3 linked regions of the Mytilus edulis genome follow. The protein of the gene in region 3 interacts with the protein of the main gene of each other region in a biochemical or structural test. Links are inferred from orthologs where the notes say so. Each region holds a gene or a part of one and is shown on either strand. Other genes may lie near its edges.

Region 1 (8,229 bases), on a different chromosome or scaffold from region 3:
TCTGACTTTGGAAAAAGGTAGAGCGCTTTTGATACCTTTTATGAAATTATCTTTTACAAAAAATCATCCTACAACAGTTCACAAGCTGTATATGCCCGCGATTTCGCGGGTGTGTTCTAGTATATATATATATCAAAAAAATAATCATGTACATGTATATTAAAGAAAACTAAAAAAATAACTAACCATATCTAGCATAGACTTTTGGTTGTACTCCACTACATTCTCTAATTAAAATAGGAAATTTAGGGTTACTCTGCTTAACACCAACATAGTAATTCTCTATGAACTCTCTGAAATAACAACATTAAAATATACAATGTATTACAACATATAAGTATATATTTTGATTTTCCTGTCATTGGAAAGTTACTTCACCTTATTCAATGTTTTGAATAGTAAAACATAATTTGTCACTGGACTTCAAGCAGTCAGGAACCTGTCATTCAGTTTATTGATGTGGTTCATATGAGTGGAATGGACTATCATTAGCATAAGGAAGAAATTAAATACCAGTCTAGTTATGAATTTTGACTTCATAAAATATTAACTTTATAGAATTTGACTTCATTAAATATTAACTTTTTAGAATTTAAACTATTCGTCAACCAAAAGTGAGATTCTACTGGACTTTTACAGATTCTTCAGATAAAAGTGTTTCTCAATTAAAAATTATCTTTTTTTATTGGACTGTGAATTTTTTTTACCCTGGTCATTTTGAGCCACTTTAATAGCTTGCTGTTCAGTGAAAGAAAAGGCTCTGTGTTGAGGGATGTACCAATAACTATTTTTTAGATTTGATAGATTTGTATATGACTTTCACATGTATGTGTATATTCAAATAAAAACGATGAGTCTTTGGTGTGGGACTTTGTCAAAGTCCATACCTGTTAAGTCTTTTTGAGTGTTAATACTGTTGATTTCTGAATTTGAAGCAACTTTTTGTACAAAGTCAAAGGACAGTAGTTGTGCAGGAGCGCATGATTTTCATTTGAAAATTGCTTGTCTCCACCAGGACTCGAACCTGGGACCTCTGTGTTACAAGTCAGCCTGTTAACAGACTGAGCTAAAGAAGAATTGAATCTGGGAACGTTCGCGCTCATTCACATTTGCTCCCTTTCACTCTCTCCCCCTACACATTTGCACCCTACATGTTTGCGCCCAATTTCTATTGGTTTTGTGTTCAATAACTTTGTAGTCATGATTTGGCAAGTGTATTCCTAATGGCTATAAGTATATTTGTTGTCATTGTCTCAAAATAAAGTGAGACAACGTTTCTTTTGTAATAAATAATTCTTAACCATGTTTTGGATAGTGTATAGTTAAAAAAATATATAGTTTCTAAATAAAATGAGATTCGACTAATTTTTTTGTTGTTGAATAAATTTTAATCTTTTTTGGTTCATTTGTGGTTAGTATATTGCTATAATTTTTTGTTTAATGATCGCTTTAGAACAAAGTGGTAAGCTGTTAAAAACAATTATCCTTTGTGTTTTTCTTTTAAATTTTTCAATGTTTTACTCATACAAAGCTAAATACATGCAGGTTTTACATCATATCAATTTAAAACAAGGCACTGGTTACGGTTACATGGAAATGTAACAATAATAAAATAATTATTGTTACATTGGAGACTTATTGCCAGAATACAGGATGGGGTACGGATCCGATTAATTACGAATGTAACAATAATATTTGTGTCTGCGGTTACATTGAGTTATTGTTGCATTACTGCACTTCAACGTACGGTAGATTAATTAAACTTAAACTAGCCTTCCCTAGTTTTGTTGCTTATTTTTTTCGCCAATTAAGAACAACGATTAACGAATGAATGTTGGCAACTGTTAACATTAATTGCATTCAAATTGACTTTTAAGTTTTATAAGTTTTTCAGCTATGCTAAGTTGGATATTGAAATCAGAGCGATGTGAACATAAAATCATATAATAATCCACAATAGTCATTCGTTAGTGCAGAATGGAATTGTACAGTATGCAATACTGACGTGCACATTGCTGCATCACTTGTATGTATAAAGGCTGCTTAGAGTGGTTTCACCAAAATACGTCGGACTAAAACATGCCCAAAAAACTGATACATTACTAGTCCCAGCGTACATTGAAGTGTATTTATGTAAAAATAACGCAATTAATGAAACCGTAGACTCAATTACTATTGTTAAATTCGTAATTAATGGGTTCCTTACCCAGCCCTGCATTCCGGCAATTAGTCTTCAATGTAACAATAATTATTTTATTATTGTTACATTTCCATGTAACCGTGTGAACATATATTATGGGGGAACTTATATTCTGTCACACACGTTCGCGCCCAATTTTAATTCAAATTCCAGTTGAATGATTGGAAAATCATGATTGTTGTTTTAAATTTGCTATGGTGTAAATACTGAATATATTTAGCTTGGTATGAGTAAAACATTGAAGATTTTAAATGAAAAACACAAATGATCATTTTTTTTAACAGCTTGGTCTCTTTGATCTGAAACAACATAAACAATGAAACAATAAAATATAGTAATGCACTATTATAACCAAAAAATGATCAAATTTATTCAACACCCCCCAAAAAAACGTCGTCAGAATCTCAATTTGTTCTGAAACAAGTCAATGCAACAAAGTTATTGCAATTCACCTAACCAAAACATGATTAAGAGTTGTTCAACACAAAATAAAACGTTGACAGAATCCCACTTTATTTAGAAAGGATTTTTATTTTTTTCAACAATACACTATCGATAACACGATTAAGATTTATTCAACGCACAAAAAAAAATGCTGTCTTACTTTATTTTGAGACAATGACAACAAATATACTTATAAGAATACACTTGCCAAAACTTGATTACAAAGTATTAAACACAAAACCAATTAAATTGGGCGCAAACCTGTAGGGTGCGAACGGACTTTGGGTGCGAAAATGAAAGGGGGCGAACATGAGTGGGTGTGAAAGTGAATGGGCGCGAACGGACCTGGATTCGGCTAACTTACAGTACTCAGTAGTACTAGTATCTACTACATTGTCTATGCCATGGAAACCTTCCTGGACGGGTATTTGATCGGCATTTCTCTCAAAACATTTAAACCCTGGTCATAGTATAAAGAACTTGTTCAATTACTTTAAAATGAAGATATTTTTGGTGAAGGTCACATTCTATTTTTCGTAAGTCTTTATAAAGAAATGCAATTTTGCAAGTGATTTTGCAAGATATGAGCAGCTTATGTTATTTTAAATATGAACTCATTATATTAGGTTCGAACCTGACACCCTGACTTGCTGTAGATTTCTGGCATAAATGAATTCTCAGCTCTTTTAAACTCTGTCCAAAGCGAAGTGCTTTAGCAGACGCCATTTTCAGCTGGTTTGTAAATGTAAGATGAAATGGTGAAACGAAGACAACTATTTTGGAAATATTTATTATATAAAATAAGTATAATGAGTATCAGAAATATTTGGTAAATCAAATAATTGATAGAGGCAGCGATATTGAATTTAGAAAGAATACTATTCTTTTACACATGTTACATTGTTATGTTCGTTTTTTATGAAAATCTTAAATTTGTATTAACGAAACTATGGATGATTTTGGGGTCTCACTAATTAGCGACAACAAGCGTCAAGAAGCGACAACAAGCGTCAACAAGCGACAAGAAGCGACAACACATATTATTTTAGCGACAACAAGCGACAAGAAGACTATTTAGCGACAATAAAACATTTTTTTTTTATTAGATATAAAGAAATTTGTATTTAATGGGTTTTTTAAATATACGAGCAGATATGTCTAATTAAAATGTTTTATTATATAGATAGACGAAGAAATGAAACATTTGTGAGAAAGAAAGAGATTGTGAAGTTTATATTTAAATAGTATATTGGTAGAAGAAGAAATTTGACTTTTGTGAAAAAGAAAGAGATTGAGCTTCTTTTTTTTATTTTTAAATATGAAGAATATGTATAAAATAATGTATGTATCTGTTTTCATCAAAGTCAAAGTATGAATAAACGAATGGAGATATATATGGAGCGGGCATAATAGAATATAATATTTTGATTCATTTGCTTAATACTATGCTCTAAGTGTACTCTTGTTATGTCAATTCGATGCTTTATTTGTAGAACTCTCAGCCACGCTTTGCCATCTTTATTATTTAAGCGTGTACAATAACATCCAATTAACACCGTCAACTTTGTACACGCGTCAGACTATACAATTACACGCGCCAGAATATACAATCATTGTAAATAGTGAACACCTGTTGAAAACTCAAGATTGTCATTAATTTCCTTTCATCTTCAATCAATATGCATAAACATGATAAATATCGTTTAATGAGGCAATAAACAAATAAAAAGATGAAAACATTCACATTTCAATTTTCTTTTCCTCCTGTTTGGTTTCAGTTCTTTGTATTTCACAATTTGTGTCAATATTTTCAGGACAATGATGCACAAGTAATTCATTTTGCGAGCTTAATACATATTGCACGAAAAGAGTTTTAAAAAACAAATTATAAGATAAATAATATGTTCTAAAACACAAGGAAAAGTAATCTCATAATACAATGATTAAACGTAATACTGGCTGTTATTCATAATAGATGATAAAATATTATGTAAATAATGTTTCATTTTTTTCTATCAATTTTAACTTTCTTGTCGCTAAAATTATTTTCTTTGCATATTCTTTTAAAATTCATTGCAATAATTAATTTTAATTACAAAAAAATGTTTTCTTGTCGCTAAATAGTTTCTTGTCGCTTGTTGTCGCTAAAATAATTCTTGTTGTCGCTTCTTGTCGCTTGTTGACGCTTGTTGTCGCTAAAATTCTTGTTGTCGCTAATTAGTGAGACCGTGATTTTGTACACTTCCGCTGAAATTCCACTTTTACGAAATATAATTTTACATCGAATATTTCAATGAAATGAATTTTTCTTTATAGTTGTACCCACCAAGACATTTAAACCAAATTCAATTTAGTTATATAACATACAGTTTTACATCATGGTCCATCAGAATTTTTTTAATTAATCTCAAGAAAATCGAAAGTAATGAAAGAAAAATAAATTTATCAAAAAGTAAATAAACATGGAAAAATACACCAAAATTAAAAGTATAGGCGAAGGAGCATTTGGCAAAGCATTGCTTGTGAGGGATAAAAGTAATGGTCAGCAGTATGTCGTTAAAGAAATTCAAATGTTGAGGGTACAGTATACATTTTAGCATGTGTCTTCTTCTTCTTCTTTCAGTACAGAGTCTGACTCTTCTTGAGTGTATAAATGACTCTTGCTCGTGAAATCATGAGACCTTCCCTCCTCACTTAATAAAAACTATTTACAGGAAAATTATTTACAAATAAAACTATGTACATCTGGGGTCAAAGGAGATCTAGGTGTGTGAAGCTCCTGTCAAGGCCTCTGGCAGGATGGTAAGGCTGGCCTTGAACTCTTCTAGTGGAATCCGGGTCTGTTCGCACCCAATCACGTTCGCACCCTTCCACATTCGCCCCCCACATGTTCGCACCCAAATTTTGCAAAAAGTTCGTTCGCACCCCACACGTTCGCACCCAATTTTACCGATTTTTTGGAGGTGTATTGGTATGAATATATATGCCATTGTTTCTAAATAATTCGAGATACTGACAAGTTTTTTTGTGTCATGACAAGATTATAAAAAAAAAGTCCTTGTTTTAAAGTCGGAGTGAGTTGAATAATTCTTAATCGTGTTTTGGTTAGTGTATTGAAATAATTTGTTTTTCACTGGTTCTAGTCAATTAAGTGCGAATCTGACAACATGTTGAACAACTGGTATGCTGCTGCTTTTATGCATGGTAAGTGTATTGCTATGATTAATATTTATTTTATTAGTATTTACATCAAAGCAATTTAGAACAACAATCATGATTTATAAACAACAGTAAACAATAACACCAATTAGGCTGTTTATAAATACCAACAGAGACATATAATACGTCTCTGATACCAATTAGCAATAATCATACATAATCAACATTTAATAATTAATCATCAGATTGATAAAAAAAAAATCTATTCAATAAATTCTCAAATTTTATTCAAATAGAATACAATTATTTGTTATATTCATATGAATAATTTCTAACAATTTAACTTAAATTTTATTAAAAATTGGGCGCGAACATGTAGGGTGCGAACGGACGTGGGGGGCGAAAATGTGAGGTGCAAACGTGTAGGGTGCGAAACTATATTGGGCGCGAACGGACCTGATACCCTTCTAGTGTAGCTGCTATTGTGGCTTTTTCCGGTAGAGTGTTCCATTCCCTGGTTGATCTTGGGAAGAAGGAGTACCTGTATTGGTCTTTTAGTGTGCGCTGTTGGTGTATGCGGTGGCCTCCTCTGGTTGTTGAATCTCCGGGTTTGTAATAATTAGAGGGGTCAATATCCACCAATCAATTGTGGATCTTGTATGCCATGGTGAGTCGGTCTTTGCAGCGGCGATCTTTAAGAGGCACCCATGTGTAGCGGGGTTGCTTCCCCTCCTTAGTACAAGTAGAACATATAAAGCCAGTCTTAATCAACTGAGCTAGGGAATCAATTCTTTGGCTCAATGGGTTAACTGACTATCACACAGGCGACTGGGGTTTGAATCCCAGTGGTGACGATATAAATTTGTAGAGTAGATACATTTGTACATGCTCTCCGGTTACACATGTTTAGTACACCAATCTAAGATTCTTTTTATGAATGAGTTGCAGTAGTTGTCCTTAAGTTCAAATGGTGTAAACAACTTAATTGAATAATTGGTTCCTACTTTGACCATTGACATAATAACATTAGCATTGTGGCAAAGAAAATAAAGGGGAAAGAGCACAAATTTGAAATTCGTCTGTTGAGTATTGACATTATCATGCACCATTAATCGCTATTTGTCCTTAATCACAAAGGTTTCTCCTAAATTTTGATGTCACGATAGATAATGTCTAGGACCACAAAGGAAAAGTGATTGTTGTATGACGTCTATCATGTCTATTCATGCTATTGTTCAAGTAATGAAGTGTCACTGATTCCGAAATATAAAAGTGATAAATTCTATTATATGTATTATCATGATTATACTTGTAATTTATAAAATTAAACTCCATGAGGTGTACCAACATGACCAACGCCTGTGTGAATCATTTCGATAGAGTCCCTGAAGTGGATACCTTGGTATGCAGGGTTGTCAAATGAATGCAACATTAAAATAATACACAAGGCAAGGTTGGAAGAGAAGCCTTGCGAAGTGGTAGGAACCATGGGAAGTTCGTCCAATTAGATACCAAGCCTTAGAACAATTTCATGTATCATATAATAGTAAAACAAACTCAAGTTACATTTTAAACAAACTTTAATTTTCTATATTTATCTTATCTATATATAACTCTGTATTGCTACTTTCACTTTTCATTGTTTCTCTCACCATGACGACGTCAAATTTTATGCACCACTTTGAGTACTTCAGGGATTAATTTCTGTATAAAAATTGTCCTGATGAAGCCTGCCTTGCAGGTGAAACATGTAGACCATAGCTAGGAAGAATCTTAGATTGGTGTATTTAAAAAAGGATATTAAAATTACAAAAGAGGGCTGCTAGATTAATACTAGAAACAGACCCATTCGCTCCTTCTGCACCCTTATTCAAACACTTAAACTGGATGACAGTTGAACAGAGAATAAAATATCATAAGTTAGTGATGACATTTAAGTGCATTAAAAATAATGCCCCATCATATCTTACTAACAAGTTTCATTATGTTTCAAACAGAAATCCATACCCCTTGAGAAATGCTGTTCAAGGAAACCTCATACTCCCTAAACCAAAAACAGAATTGTTCAAAAAATCTTTTATGTATTCTGGACCATTCTTGTGGAATAATTTGCCAATACCGTTAAGAAATATTACAAATGTTAATTCTTTCAAATACAAAATAACAGATCATTTATTGAAATCAACCTAGCTGTATCAATAATATTAAAAACTGATCATGTCATCATGTTTATTTTTTTTACATCACATTTTATCAAGTTGTACTAAACATAATTATCATACTTGACTTTTTATACTAATGTATGCAATGTATATGTTTGCATTTTGTTTGATTTCTCATGATGAGGGCCTCAGGGAAGATTAGTTATATAGCTAACTGTGTAACCCTCTTGAAATAAAGTATTGTTGTTGTTGTTGTTGTTGTTG
Region 2 (8,444 bases), on a different chromosome or scaffold from region 3:
TATGCTGTGGTGAATACTTAAACAAAAAGATACATGTATCATTTACTGTTGTACGTGGAGTTGAACTCCTACAAAATCAGTTGCCGCACGAGAATTTGCCTAAAAAAGTGACATTTAAATTTTAAAATGGTTCTAATTACACACCCACAAGTTCAAATTTACTTTTTATTCGGTCAATGGGTATGAATGTCGTTTTGGAAGGCGTGGACGCTGTCCGGTGTTGATCGACATCTTAATAAATCTAAAAACCTCATATTTGCATTATGACATGCGTGAGGGGATCGGTTCTGATTGAGGACATCGTAAATGCGTGAGGGGACGTGAAACCATAATATTATATCCAAACTATGAGTATTTTAAAGTTGCCTAAATGTGGTCAGATTGTTCATGAAAAAACACATTTGTGTGCATAAACAAAATTAATGAGATAGAATTTTGAAATACATTTTGGGAAGATAGGTTTTACGAACAATAAAAGGAAAAATTTTGTCAACGATTTGTTTCTAGCTACAAATAAAAGTTGAAAAATTTCTTATCAGCCCAGTATATATTTTTTACGAAAAGAGTTAACTCCCCTTGTATTGCGTATTTAAAAAAAAAATGGATCGCGAAAACACAAATTTTGATATTTAGTTGAATATTTTGATTTATACAATACATCACAAAGTTTTCTGTATATGAATAAACAGTCTTACCAATAAATTGCAAATATGTCTCCAATAAAGGCAACAGTAGTCCACCGTTGTCGAAATTCATAAATTGATTGAGAAAAAACAAATTCGGACTACAAACTAAAACTGAGGGAAACACATCAAATATAAGAGGAAAACTACGACACAACAACAACATAACTTTTAACTTTAACACACACAGAAACGAATTACAATTTAACAATAGCCATTTTCCGGACTTGGCACAGTACATTTTAAGAAAAAATGGTGGGATAAACCCGATTTTGTGGCATGCCAAACCTCCCGCTTCTTCGGCAATGGTAAATATACCAGTTAAAGACAACATTACATGACAGGACTGCAATACAAATAAATGATAGAACATATAGGACAGAGAAACACTCCAAATATAGCTAACAAAAGGTACCAGGTTTAAAAAAAAACACTTATATATCAGACGCGTCTTTCGTCAACACACGGCTTAGTAGTGACGCTCAGATGAAAAAAGTTTGAAAGCCAAGACAAGTACATTGAGGACCAAAAGTTCCAAAAAGTTGTGTCTAATACGGCTAGGGTTTCCGCCTGGAATAAGAACATCCTTGTTATTTCGAATAATTCAAAATTTTGCAACCAGTGATGTTTTATATAATGACTATAAATAGATATACATGATAAAATCGAAGTGGTGACTGACTACACAATATAAACGGATACATAAAATTACCTAAACCAGCAAATAAAAATTCACAGCCGAGATAGCCAAAACCATAAACGCCCAAAGTGACGTAATATATGAATTTCTTAAACAATATCCCAAAAATAGGATAGACAGAATTCAGGATTAGATTTGCAATACTGATTTAACATTTATCAATAACAATTAAAATTACAATATTAATTAATATCAAATTGTGGTAGTAAACTATCGATTATTTGCCCAAATCCACGAATTTGGACAAGTATTTGAAATTTATTGGTTAGACTTTTATTCATGAAAAGAAAACATGGTCATTTATTGTTATTTCAAAATTCTATCTCATAATTTTTATTTATGCACACAAATTTGTTTTTTCATAAACAATCTAACCATATTGAGGCAACTTTCAACGACTGATAGCTTGAATATAGAGAAACATGTATGATTTCAAGTCCCCTCACGCATTCACGATGTCCTCAATCAGAACCGATTCCCTCACGCATGACAAAATGAAAATATGAGGTTTTTAGATTTATTAAGATGTCTATCAACTCCAGACAGCGTCCACGCCGCCCAAAACGACATCCATACCCATTGACCGAATAAAAAGTAAATTTGAACTTGTAGGTCTGTTAATAGAACCATTTCAAAATCTAAATGTCACTTTTTTAGGCAAATTCTCGTGCGGCAACTGATTTTGTAGGAGTTCAACTCCACGTACAACAGTAAATGATACATGTATCTCTTCGTTAAAGTAATCACCACAGCATAGCATTCTCCGATTTTCAATATTTTGATCAGTCGAATAAGAAAATTGCGATTTAGAAATGTACATACCTTTTGAAGCGGTGACAATTACTCCACTCAAGCACAACCGGAAAATCCTCTCACGGTTTTCATTGCAGAACCAAATGTTCTGCGTGTGTAGATTACCAGCCGTGTATAAGAATTCTTATAGTTTTAAAATCGAATTCATCTAAACTTTGCCTGTATTTGTCAACCTATAATGAATAAAGTCATACACTATGAGAATATATGTTCATTTAAACATACTTTACATATAAACACTATGTAAATTGTAAATAAACTTGAAATTGTAATGTTGTGGCCAAACCGGTTCTTGGGGTGAACACCAAATTTTCAAAAAAATCTTGAGGCCTGCAAGACGACTAAATTTGCTTAAAATTGGTATGGACGAATACTGTTACATGTAATGCAGATGTTTATGAAGTGTCCTATATTTTGACTTTAGTGGAACCTTAAGCCTGACAATTGATATTTTAATGTGTGTTTTTCAATGTTGTGATGTTATGCTATTATTTCAGAAAAAGGGAGGAGAAGGTTTGGATCCATTAAAACGTTTTAAATCCGCTGCAAATGTTTGCACCTGTCCTAAGTCAGGAATCTGATGTACAGTAGTTGTCGTTTGTTTATGTAACTTATACGTGTTTTTCGTTTTTTATTTTATATAGATTAGACAGTTAGTTTTCCCGTTTGAATGGTTTGACACTAGTAATTTTAGGCCCTTTATAGCTTGTTGTTCGCTGTGAGCCAAGAATCCGTGTTGAAGGCCGTACATTGACCTATAATGGTTTATTTTTTAAATTATTTGGATGGAGAGTTGTCTCATTGGGACTCACACCACATCTTCCTATATCTATTAAGTTTTTTCTTTGAAGTTTTCTTTAGATTACATGTGCATAAAGACAAGTACTTGACCAGAGTTACCCATAAACTATTAAAAAGTTATTTGAAATTATATGTATGTTTAAATTTATAGTTGAACTACAGTACCATTGTAGATTCAATAACTACAAATACAACATTAAATGATTAAGCTTACACGAATTGATCGATTGTGCCACATAAGACACATCTATATTACATCGCTTGGATTAACTGACATTACGAGATTGGGTTGATTCAAGGGAGCAGTTAAAAGCGTATCGAGTATATATCAATATACATGATTAATATTTGAACTCTAGATACATTTTTTTTGGTACTCGCTTTGAACTAACTTTCAGTATCTGCGAGTTCTCTTGCATCTGTACTTTGTGTTATATTATGGATGAGAGATAGATAAATACCTGGCCAAGTCCAGTCTGTGTTTTTGTTAGATGTGTTTTTGCTTTGTATCGATCTGATGAGTTCAGCCTTTTTTCAACTGATTTTTATAGGTTGTTCTAATGAATTTTTACGCCTCTATATTGTTCGATTACAGCATTTCCCCAGGTTAGAAAGATGGTTGAACGCTCACAAACATGTTTAACTCTGCACACATTCTTTAAGTTCATGCCCCAAGTCGGGAGACTTATTCAGTGGTTGTCGGCGGTTAATTTCTGTCATATTAGTTTTTGTATAAACCCGTTAGTTTTCTCAATTGAATTCAATGACACATATTTTTCATGCCGTGGCCTTTTATAGAAGATTATATTTTTTTCTCTCATTGTTGAAGGCCGTACATGTACCTATAATTACTTCCACCCACTTCATTTGAACTTTTGTAGATAGTTGTGTCCTAGTCAACCATAACGCATCCCCTTACTTTAACAGAGAATATTTACGGAAATTTAATAAATAAAAGAGGCTAGGCTGAGTGGTTTCACCTCAGGTAAAAAGGCTTAAAACAACGGGTGAAAACGTCATATACGAATCGGTTCCGGATGAAAGCAGGTATTAGAATAATTCAGAATTATGGACTTCCCATTTTGAATTCTCGGAGTTCGGTATTTTGTGTTATTTTACTTTTTTATTGACATATTTCACAGACTTTACATCCATTCTAAGTGAAAAATATTCCTTATTTTAAACAAAGTCTTAATATTATCAATCATATTAAACAAATAAAACCGATTTCTCAATTTAGATTTTATCTATTCAAAGTGAGCACCTTTGAAATGATAATGCGAAAATATTGTGATTCTCAGGAAATTAAAGAAGAGCTTTACAAAATACGGATTTTTTTTTTGTGTTATTAAAATTTGCTGTCACAAAATGTTAGAAATTATTATAAATTAAGGAATGTATCTCCCTCATGCAAAGCTCTGATTCCTTTCACGGATTTGGCTATACTTTTTGAACCTTTTGGATTATAATAGCTCTTCATCTTTTATATAAGCTTTGGATTTCAAATATTTTGGCCACAAGCATCACTGAAGAGACATGTATTGTCGAAATGCACATCTGGTGCAGGAAAATTGGTACCGTTAATGTTATTACAACAATACTATTTTAAAAATATTATTCTCACCGATTTCACTTATTCATAGCCAGTAAATACGACGAAGAAAATCACATTAATATGTGTCATTATTTTGTGGAATTGTCTCAACCGCAACAGAAGTTTTGCAAGCTGTTGAATATATTAATACTAATGATATTTCCATAAAAAGTCGTCGCAATCCTCTTTCTTTAAATCGTGTCATTCAAAACAGAAAATAGCAACGATCGATACATTTATCAAATTTTATTGACAAATGCATCGAAGTTGTCAATTTCACTCAGGTAATTAATTTACCTTTACCATTGATTTGAAATGTAGTTTCCCCTGAATAAAAAGAAAATGATGCCCTTAAACGTGAGTTACGGGACGATTTATTTTGTATTCTGATATTAATATCGATAAGGAAATTGAAAACAAATATTGCATGTATCTAGAAATGTGATTTCATTCTATTCATTATATATAATTATTGTGACACCCACCACTGTTCTATGGTTCATTTATTTATTGAGAACTGATTAACTTATCGCTCTTTCATCTTTGCTCTGCATGGAATCTATCCAGCTGCAGTGCTGTAAAACATATTCAATAATATTCCGAGTACATTCTTACGGCTGTAGATAAAGCCTAATCTGAATTCAAAGTCATAAAATGGAGTTTTGTTGTAAACCCTACACGATACCCGCTCCACGCACTCCTGAAAGATACATTACCCATCAGACCGTAGCCATGATTGGATTTCAATCAGTTAAAATATTGACTGAATGTTAATTTCAAATATGAACAATATAGTACCTGTCATTATTGCTGAAACTGATAGGCCGATAATCCAATAATTAAGTCGGTTCGTAGGTGTAGAGAAAAATATATTCAAGTGCATGTAAATGATAAAGAAACGTTTAAATACGCTTTTGACTAACCAACAACGAGATCTTTATTGAATTATTGGTAATTTACACTTAACGATATTTGGGGTCCGGTTAGCGTTATATTATATGAACATATTGAAATATTTGCTTTCATTTGCTACAGGCTTTATATACTGCTCCGACCACACGAGGATTTTTAACAAATATCAATAATGAAGTAAAACTCTAGGAATTGGTTTTCAATTGGAAAAATATTTTATTGTTGACTTTTGTCGTATTGACAGGTGTTGCGCTATGAAACACGGAAAAATGTACTAATACTTTATACACTGAAAAATGAATTGTAAAATTGTTACTTTTAACTCTTAGAAATGATTTGTGAACTTGGATAAGGATATACATTATGAGATACTATATTTTGTGTTTACTTGTCCTATTTCAAGGTAAGTCTTTGCTCATTTTTCTTAATTTCAAAAATTGTCGACAAAATGACAAAATCGATGGATTGTTTTATGTTTTTACTTCTTTTATGTATGGTATTGCACTGAAACGTCCTATGATTCACTGAGTTTCATTAATTGCATTCAAATCATCACACCTGAAAGACTTCGCATGTGGAATTCTGAATAAATAAATTGTTTTGGAGGATATTGGAAATATTATCTATAAAATTGAACACGCAATGCAAACTTGATATTAGCTACATTGTACTCGTCTTAAATTCATGTAATAACACATATAGTTTTTAAATAGTAGCTTTGTCATACGCCACACACACACAATTCCGGGAATTTATTGACGTTTGAAGTCCAGTGGAATACCAACGTTTTTAAGTCACATTTTGATTTTTAAGGCCTCGGTGACCGACAGGTCTTATAAATTGTAGTCTATAATGTATACAGTTATCTCTTTAGGTTTGTCAACTCTGGGGTTTAGAGTTGGAACCCCGTTCGTCTCGAGTTGTGTTCGACTACGATTTTAATTGACAAAGATAGCCAGTCTTCTTGTTCAAAATCGGGGATCTTTCAAGGTACTATGGCTTCCTAATTTTACGACAAAAAATGTCCACCATGGTATTGCCGTGGTAGCTAAAAGTGCTGTCAATCACCGGCGCACACAGATATGTGTTGTAAATAATTACTTTCTAGTTCAAAGTCCACATGAGTTTCATGATAACATCTTCTAAATACACTCATAGATACCAGGATTAAAGTTTTATCTTTACGTCAGACGCGCGTTCCGTCTACAAAAGACTCACCAGTGACGCTCGAATGAAAAAATGTTAAAAGGCTAAATAGAGTACGAAATTGAAAAACATTGAGGTCCGAAAATTCCTAAAAGTTTTGCCAAATACAGCTAAGGTAATCTTTTCCTGAGGTAGAAAAGCCTTAGTTTAAAAAAAAACTGAGTTTAGAAATGACATAACGTTCAAATTATAGTCTTTCACGACAAGAACATTTTTTTTAGTTTACTCGAGTGTTACTGGTGGGTGGTTTCTAGGAAGATATGAAATGTATTTGTACTGAAAAACAGAAGAAAAGCTCGTATAGCCGTTTATACAATGTAGTTGTCTACTCTGTTTAAATATAATTTTAATCCTGCAGTGTTTCATTGAGTTAAAATATGTATTTTCCCCCAAATCAGCACGACTTTATAGAAAACCGCAATTCCAAATTGAACTGTGATGTAAACAGTAATTTGAGCATATTACGTTCGCTCATGACAGAAGCGGGATACCAGCAGACTGTGAACGTATATTTTACTTTTATCGTTCCATGCCATCTGTCACCCTGTATTTGTTCAGGAGAAAGGTCAATTGCAGGATAAAAAAAGATATCAAATAAACAAATTCAAAATCTTCCATTTGGACAATATTGAACTACTCATTGGAATTGAAAAGAAAACAAAAAACACATAAGCAAAACATGTTACCGATCCAAATACAAACTTATCATTTCGGATCAGTTACCTTTTTTTCTTAAAATGCTAGCAAATCATTGCATTACGGACAACTTTCAGAATACCACAACCATGTGGCGAAAAAAAGAACAAACTTGTAATACTTGTAAATTAAGTTGAGAGTCTAGCGCACGTACCATGTGCGGGGTTCGAACTCACAACCTTAGTGTTGATAGATGATGACCCACTTAAACCACTGCCATGTTGTTAACTTTTTTTGTTTACTATGTTTAAATAACGTGTCATTTTTTTGTAAATAGTTTGGCAACCTATTAAATAAGACGAATAAAATATTCATTTATTTTGCTATAATCTCATAAATGGTACCATTTATCACAATGTCTCAATACCCTTAAATGTGACATTGATTTGAAACATTGACTTTATGGATTCAATGCGTTTATGAAGTTAAGTATACTTCCACGGAAACGGTAAACTCATTAATACGATTTCTTATTTCTAAACTTATAAAGAACAAAATAAGGCAATTACAAATAGAATCATTGGGAACTACGTTTGAAAAATAACACTTGACCTTAAGAGTGTCTCGAACTGTTCATAAAACAAATATAAGATTCATCTACGTTTTGGAATAACTCTCCATTTTTAAGTAGGCAATTGCGAACAGATTCGTAAACTTCATTAGCAACTACGTTTGGAAAATAACACTTGACCTTAAGAGTGTCTTAAACTAATAAAAACAAAACGAACATAAGAGTCTTCTTTTGCATGATCACTGGTGTCAACGTGGTGATTGTAACTGCAATTCCGATCATCCCAATATGGCGGACCATGATTATGTAGGTGTTTCTTGTTATGATATAAATCTGAAAGTAAGTTGTTAACGTGGAGAAATTGGCCATATAAAATTTACCTGAGTTTGCGTCAAGATTCAAGATGTCAAGATTTTTTATTTCTCAAACACCATATTGGGATGCTCGTAATTGCAGTTTCGATTATCACGTTGACACCAGTGATGATGCTGTTCAATAACAACACAGTCGATGAAAAAATCATCTGCA
Region 3 (8,001 bases):
TTTTTGCTTTATATCTTTGAAACTAAGACATTTAGGGCAAATCTTTCAAGATTTAAATGTCCATCAGAATAAGATCTATCCCCTCACAAATTTCAGATGAATCCTACAACCCACTGTTGGGTTGCTGCCCTAAAATTGTTAATTTTAAGTAAATTTTGCAGTTTTTGGTTATTATCTTGAATACTATTATAGATAGAGATAAACTGTAAACAGCAATAATGTTCAGCAAAGTAAGATCTACAAATAAGTCAACATGCCCAAAATTGTCCTTTATAGTCAATATTGAACAACTTTTCGTCATTTTTGTAACTTGTACAAAAATCTTCTTTTCTAAAACTATGGGCCAGATTTAACCAAACTTGGCCACAATCATTACTAGGGTATCTATTTTAAAAAAAGTGTCTAATGACCCCCGCCTATCAACCAACATGGCCGACATCAGTAAATACAGTAACAGGTGAGCAACACAGGCTCTTGAGAGCCTCTAGTTTCAGAATTATGTCCCTTTATAAAACAGAAAATAGCTTACCGTATTTTATTGGTTTCCAGACATAAACTTAAGAAGGCATCTACTATATCATTTCACATTTCATATTTGAAATTTTGTTTTTGAATTTGACCAATTTCACATTTGATTTTCATTAGGTATTCCCCTTAATTAAACTAGCAGGACAAAGATTATTTTTTGTTCATAATGTAGATTCAGTTTATATTCATTCACTTTTTATGATTTCAGAGAATTTCAGAGAAATCATATAGTTGATAAAATGGGAAATAACCTTTTTTTTGTTTATGAAGGATTTATTTAAGTATTAAACTTAAAGTAAGCTTTAATTTACCAAATCTATTGAAATTTGTCAACCACAGAATCTTTTTGAATTTGACTGATTTTACTTTTTTCTTTTGAGAATTATGCCCCTTGATAAAACAGAAAATTGCTTGAAATTGTATTTTAGAATCTAATTCTCACCAAATCATCTATGGAATGTTTTATGGGTTTACTAAACATAAAGGTCCAGTTCAATTTTGTCACTTTTATCTCAGGAACTTGAAAACAAAGATTCCTGAAACTTGGTATCAGGCTTTCAGTAGGGACTTCAATCTATTGTTTGGTGCTTCTTCAGATTCATAGCTTTTCAACTGCTCTGTATATTCTGACCTCTTAAAATAAATGTTGTAAAAGCAAACTAAAATCTCAATGAAAAATAATTTATTAAGAACATCGATTACTTTCTTACAAAAAAATAATTTCCCACAAAAAATTAACTCTCGTGGAATTAATCATTTATGCATGTATAGAAATTATGATTAAAACGGTACAAGCTACCAGATAAAATTTAAGGGGGTAGACCTTGGTTCAGGGAGATAACTCTTTAAATCAGTTAAGCGTTTGTAAAAGTCAAGTTCATCAATGTATTTTAAGCATTTACCTGAAACAGATTGAAAATAATCTATGTAACCTAGAAGCTTAGAATATGTTTTTTGAAAATGGTTGACACAAACGTACTGATGATTTTAAGAGTTATTTCCCTTCACCTAGGTCTACCTCCTTAAAATATGATTTTTTTTGTTCAATCATTAAGGAAAGTGAAAAAATGAAATTATAATTCGCTTTAAGCAGCAAGTCTGGTTTAATTTTGTCGAAATAAGCTAAGAAATATTGACGATGAATTATTCACTTGCAAGTAAACAATTCAATTTCATTGAATCTGTATTCATATCACTTCAATTTAACCCCTTTAGATAGAAATGAATAAAAATGAACTGTGCGTGTAAAGTAAGTTAAAGGAAAAGAATGTCAACATTGAAAGTAAAACGAAGGTAAATTATTTGATTGACTGCTTCGATCCATTAAAAAAATCATTCATACAGGTAAAGACAATGATTAACATTTATTTTTAATCTATAAAATTAAATTAAACAGACTTAGAAAAATCCAATTGCATCATTTTGATATCTATTTATAACTATATTCATGTGTATATCGCTTATCGGAGGTCAACTAGATAGTTAATTAGATGGCTTATAGACTAAAATAGACATAAACAAAGCTACATATAATTGAGTCCATGCCCTGTAAGTTGTTTATTTTAGCCTTTTCACATGATTTTAAATCAAATATGAGAATTTGAGTCAAATCAGTAAACACAAATTTGACAGCTAGTGCCCCCTAAAGAACAAAAAATGTATACTTAGTTGTATTTCAAAATATGACGCTACAAAAAACTGATGCAGGAAAATATTTTTTACACATATATAAGTTAAAATTTTTTCAATTCAACAAACATGCTTTACCAGAAAATTTTTGGTGGAAGAAGACTTCAAGTCTTCTGAAGGCCAATGGTGCTGACTTAAAATCATTGATTCTCCGTATGCTGCATTCGTTTCTGTATATTACAATTTATTCCGTTAAATATTTCGGTTCCTGACACCGATTTAACATATAAAGTAAGCATCTGAATCATTTAATTTGTAAATTAGGATTGAAAGACAATCACAATCGTAAATATGTACCCTTTTATTTATGTAAATTATTAGATTTCATCCCATCTACATTTGTTTCCTTGTAACCGGATGTTTTTACTGTCGATATTTGTAGTACACATGCCTGAATTGGGTATCGGGACAACTTGCCCTGTTTACATGTTTGCCCTTGGTCTGTTCGTCCTGAGTTCTTTCGCCCGTACAGCCCTGTGTTCATTCTTTTTACTCTTATCAAGGACGTTTATAATAATTCATTGCATTTATTAAAAAAATTTAATATTAAGGGTATCGTTAAAAAACCCTCTAAAAAACGTGTTCCTTGTAAAACAAACGTGTTCAGCCAATCAAATTCTGTGTTACTCACGATGAACTTGTGTTGTTTTGATTTTATCCAAACTCTGAAAAAGTGGTGACATCTAACTACGCTTCTTTACATTGTTTGTAGAGAAAGGGAAGTATGACCCGAACGATAACGCTGTATGGAGTGTAGTTTTCATCTAGTTGTAAAATCGTGAAAATGGCATGTGAATTTTCATCTGCAAGCAGGTTCTTACACAGCTGAAGGATAAAAGCATGGCTGATTGACAAAATTCAATGATGCATTACTACCATAAAGATGATTAATAGTATTTTTTACACTAATTTTTTGACATAATACATGTTGTAACATATTTTATTTTTGTATTCAATTAAATCATTTAAAGGACAATATACTATTTTTTCTTTCACGAAGACCCCCCCCCCCCACCCATTATGAGTGGTGTCCTTCAAATGAGGGACTGTCCCTAAATCAAGGTGTAATTTTACTGTTGAAAAAAATAAGAAAGAACATTTTTAAGATAGTGGGAAAATTCATTGTATTTGGAACAACTTTTCGAAATGAGGGTTCAAATTAATAAAAAAAGATGTAAGTTTATAGAAACATCACAAAATTTTTTTAACATGTTTTGACCAATTAAGACTTGATAGATGCATAGTTCTTAGCGAAAAGTTTCATCAAATAATATGAATATAAAGGTGCTCATTTTTTACAGTGGGTTGTAATGTACTTCCAATGAGGGTTACCCCTCATTTGGAGTGTTGTTCCCAACCTGTTAAAGGTCCATCTTTGTGCATAATTCAAAATTGGAAATTTCAACAAGCATCTAATATTCTTACACAAGAAAATAAACCCTGGTCTGCTGGCTACATGTTCATCTTTTCTAACGATTTAATAACTAGAATCATGCAAACAGACTTAAGAAAAAGGCATGTAAGTTCATCATACAAATATGACACTTTTTCTAGACAATCCAGATCGTGCACTTAGCTAAAAATTGTAACCTTTAAAATTGTTGTCCCGCACTAAAAACCCTGATGGGAACTTTCAAAAGTTGGCAGGTATGTAACAAGTCTTACTATTTTTATGCCCCATTATGGGCATTATGTTTTAGTCTGTCCGTCTGTCCTGCTTCAGGTTAAGGTTTATTGCCGAGGTAGTTTTTGATGAAGTTTTTTAAAGATTTTACCAAATTTTCACAGTCCACTGAACATAGAAAATGATTGTACAGATGGGAAATCCATGTACTTATGACACATTCTTGTTTGAAGAAAAAAATCCAAAGCAGGCTGGGTTAGTGGGGCTGCTTTTATGGTAATTCAAGTAAACTTTTATTCACCTTTTTCCACCTCAGAGCTATCAGCTCTTTGATTTATATATATTATTTTATTGCATGTAGTTGTGGCAAATAGGTTCAAAATATTTCAGAGTGCTTCACAATATTATATTATATAGAGCTGTTATATATTATTCTAGCTCATAATAATTAATAAAGGATTAATATTTTCTTACATTAGAATAATTTTTATATAATTTGTAGACATTTGATATCTATTTATCGATATATCTTGGTTCTCCACATGTTTGTGGAAAATGTTAGGACCACACTATAATTATACAGGAGAGTATACTAGTTTAATGATAAAAAAACCCCATTAAAACTAAATTTACTGAATTGAAGGAAAAAAATAGTACACTTTTAGCTTGATTACTGATGCCTAAATATCTGTCACATAAAATAATTAGTAAACTCATTATGGGTTAAATAATTAGGACATGCACAATGCATTTTTTTCCTGTGAGTCTTTACAAACTAAAACCCCCGTTTAATGTGGGTGAATGGATTTAAATCTCAATCTTTGAATAAAGTACTTCAACTGTTAGAAATATGTGTATTTAACTCATTCAGGAAGTATATCTGTCTTCCTATAATGTGTACACACAAATGACAGATATTTGTGTTAATACTTAGGTTATTTTAAACTTGGAAACCTGTGCATGCGATGTGGTTCGTTGTTACAATATTACATATAAAGAATATAAATGACAGCCGTACGTATTGCTGTAAACTTTTTACACTTAATTGCAGAGGAATACATATTTTTATACATGTGAATCAACATCATATTAACATCTAGGAAGTAGGAACATGTGCTTATTTATATAGACTCAGTTTTCAAGTTTTGATGCAGATGCATGGATTTAGTTTCTTTAGGATAGTATCTAAAATTAGCAGCTCTGTTCAGACTTTGGAATTTAAAAGCAATCAAGGAATTATATAAGTAGTTTTATATTGTTTGAGAAGAAGTTTTTTATTGATTGAGTTATATATACTGGTACAGACATTGAAATTATAGTTATAAAGATTATAATGAAATGTGATAGATACATGTGTATTAAAGCAGAAAGATGTTGTATTGAAAGACTTCTTCTCCGTTTTATACATAGTACCACAATTACTAATGAAGTGTCAAAGTTTGACCTAATCTACTAAGACAACCTGACAATGTGAACTTTTAATTTGTCTTAAGATATGACTGGGATATATATGTGTATAATCAGATAAACATCAACGATAATATTTATGATAATTGATATTTGATAAAATGTTAACAAGACATAAAATGTGACCAACCGTCGGTGGTGTGTTGAAGGGATAAAGTAGATTCATCTTTATTAGCTATTTTACAGGTTTGAATAACATTGGCATGCAGGAATATACTCATTAATATAGATTATTAATTGCATGAAGTCAATTATAAACTTTCTCAGATGTACCATTATCAAAACTTAAGTTGAAGTCAGAAAATTCTCTAAAGTTGTAAATTTTTATGAATATTCTAACTGAATTACCCAAAGGAAAATGGCCAGATATTCAGAATTTACTAAAAGAGCAAGTCAGTGGATCTATGGTATGTTCAGTTGTTATCTGAGAGTGGTATATACTTTGTTTGTTTTTAAAATAGATAACAAAAAAACATTGTCGTTACTACTATGATGTCTATATATATATAATATACTATAAAACAATTTGACTTTCTTTTGAAGACATCAAACTGTTTTGTAAACCTTTGATGTACTCTAAAAAAAAATTAAGGAGTATGAAAGTAAATATATACAATGACTTCTGTATTGATCTATGTAGATTTTTACCAGATTTATAATGCAACACAAACTATACTTAATATTTGAAGTAGGCATTGAGCAAATAAGTTTACATGGTATGTTACCACAGTTTTGGATAGGGTTCATGTTGCTTGCAGTCTGCAGTTTTCTATCTAGTGTTTTGTTGTTTTTTCTTGATTTTCTGTAAATTTAACATGTTTAAACTATGGCAGGTGTGTTAGTAAGTTTGATTCATTTTATAACTAAATGTAAAATTGATTCGATTTGTTATGAATCTTAGAAAACCACAATAATGACCTCATTTGAATTGACATTTTCATTTCCTGAAAGTTATAATGTAGTGTTAAAGATACTTCATATATATATTATTAAATTTTTAAATTCTTTCATCCTCTTTTCTTATTTTCTTATTTTCATTTTTACATATTTATGTTTTTTTATCCTGAGAAAACTTGAAATATGAGTAAATTGCACCTGTCCTACTTATAACCTGAATGACACTAGATGCATTTTTTAAAGTGTTTTCGAAATATGAGAATTATTTTCCCTATAACAATGTATAATTAACATGATTAAGTAATACATTTATATTTTTGGTAAAGTACATCATAGTTTACTACTCCTTTAAAATCATATGGAAATAAAGAAAGAAAGATTTTTCATCCATGATATAATCAACTTTTAAACAACTATACAAATTAAGCCTCAATGGACATTTAAAGAATCAAACTTTAGCATAATTCTCTGTTTGAATCTGTTTCAATGTTTTTACAACATAACATTTATGTAAATCCAGTTGAAAATTTTGAGGAACGGTCATACATATGATTCAAAGAGCCTGGCATATTATCAAAGAAACTTGTTCTTGGCTTTCATTTGTAATCAGTTACATTGGACACTGGTCACTTCAAATAATCATTTGTAAAATAACCACACCACACATTAGATATTAGTCAAGGTCAGAATACATTTCCTGAAAGTCAAATCTTTTAGTACGCTGGCCACTTCAAATAATCATATTTAAAATAAACACACCAAACATTAGCATGATTAGATTGTGTCAAGGTCAGAATGCATTTCCTGAAAGTCAAATCTTTTAGCATGTTTAGTATGAGGTTATGGAATCAAAAGAGGTTAGAATATTTTACAGAACACATTAGATTCTGAAATTGATTCTGAAATGATGAAATTTCCTAATGAAAACAGAAATAGCTAGTTTAGATAGAAAGTTTTTAAAGACAAGATATATACCATAAAATTAGATGGGATACATTTCAAATTCAGTAACATACTTGATATTAATCTCTATGGTTCTGTGCTGAAACACTGTTAGTGTATGTATTAATGCATAGATCTACTGTAGTTTTCGTTTGTTTTCATGAGTATCTATTTTCGACGAAAACTTGCGTTTTCATGGATATTTACTTTCGTTTTTCCAAAGTCTTTGAACAATTATAATTCATTGAACATTTAAATTTTCACCTGTATACCCCAAAACTCAAAAGATTTGTATTAAACGGAGTATAATAAAGCCACAGTATTTATAAGTTTGTTAATTTTAATCAATAATATATCATCAATTATCAAAACTAATAGACCAAACATTTCATTTATAGATATGGTGAATGTAACAAATATTATAAGGTTGATCAACTCTGGCAATGCTGAAACCTTGGAAAATGGACTGGTCAGTGTACTGGACGAATGGGAGGATAGTGGAGATGACCGTGATATCCTAACAGTACCGTTATTTGAGGATTTACCATTACTGAATTATGCTTGTACAGTGGAAGATATTTGTGTTGATATTGTGATTGTGCTTATTTCTAATGGTTGTGATGTAAACTTGCCTTCTATAGAGGTAATGTATTTTATTATGCCCCTCCCACCATAGTAGAGGGGCATTTATGTGTTCTTGACTATAGTTTTTTCCATCTCTCTTCCTGTTGTCCCTCCCTTAATCGATCTGTCCTGTATGGGGTTTAAGTTTTTATTTAAAGTAAGTAAACATTTTGGTTTAGGTTCAAGGGAGATAATTTGTTTAAAAGCTAATGGTTGCAATGTCAACATCT

Evidence for each region. The genes of interacting proteins can lie anywhere in the genome.
Region 1: the proteins of leucine-rich repeat serine/threonine-protein kinase 1-like (region 3) and serine/threonine-protein kinase Nek1-like form a complex in vitro, tested with the Homo sapiens proteins (2 studies listed by BioGRID and IntAct, with this or other methods). The link is inferred for Mytilus edulis from reciprocal best matches to the Homo sapiens genes LRRK1 and NEK1.
Region 2: the proteins of leucine-rich repeat serine/threonine-protein kinase 1-like (region 3) and proto-oncogene tyrosine-protein kinase receptor Ret-like form a complex in vitro, tested with the Homo sapiens proteins (2 studies listed by BioGRID and IntAct, with this or other methods). The link is inferred for Mytilus edulis from reciprocal best matches to the Homo sapiens genes LRRK1 and RET.

The regions. Positions count from the first base shown.
Region 1 is NC_092351.1:3,607,446-3,615,674, forward strand, and holds the start of serine/threonine-protein kinase Nek1-like, read left to right. Parts: upstream 1-4,862; 5' UTR 4,863-5,106; coding exon 5,107-5,223; intron 5,224-8,229. Other genes in the region: NADH dehydrogenase [ubiquinone] 1 alpha subcomplex subunit 2-like, read right to left, coding at 187-293, 3,279-3,370. UniProt on the Homo sapiens protein: Phosphorylates serines and threonines, but also appears to possess tyrosine kinase activity. Involved in DNA damage checkpoint control and for proper DNA damage repair.
Region 2 is NC_092352.1:57,426,956-57,435,399, reverse strand, and holds the start of proto-oncogene tyrosine-protein kinase receptor Ret-like, read left to right. Parts: upstream 1-5,077; 5' UTR 5,078-5,866; coding exon 5,867-5,906; intron 5,907-8,444. UniProt on the Homo sapiens protein: Receptor tyrosine-protein kinase involved in numerous cellular mechanisms including cell proliferation, neuronal navigation, cell migration, and cell differentiation in response to glia cell line-derived growth family factors (GDNF, NRTN, ARTN, PSPN and GDF15).
Region 3 is NC_092347.1:2,554,515-2,562,515, forward strand, and holds the start of leucine-rich repeat serine/threonine-protein kinase 1-like, read left to right. Parts: upstream 1-4,725; 5' UTR 4,726-4,806; coding exon of another isoform or gene 4,807-4,855; 5' UTR 4,856-5,666; coding exon 5,667-5,715; intron 5,716-7,545; coding exon 7,546-7,790; intron 7,791-8,001.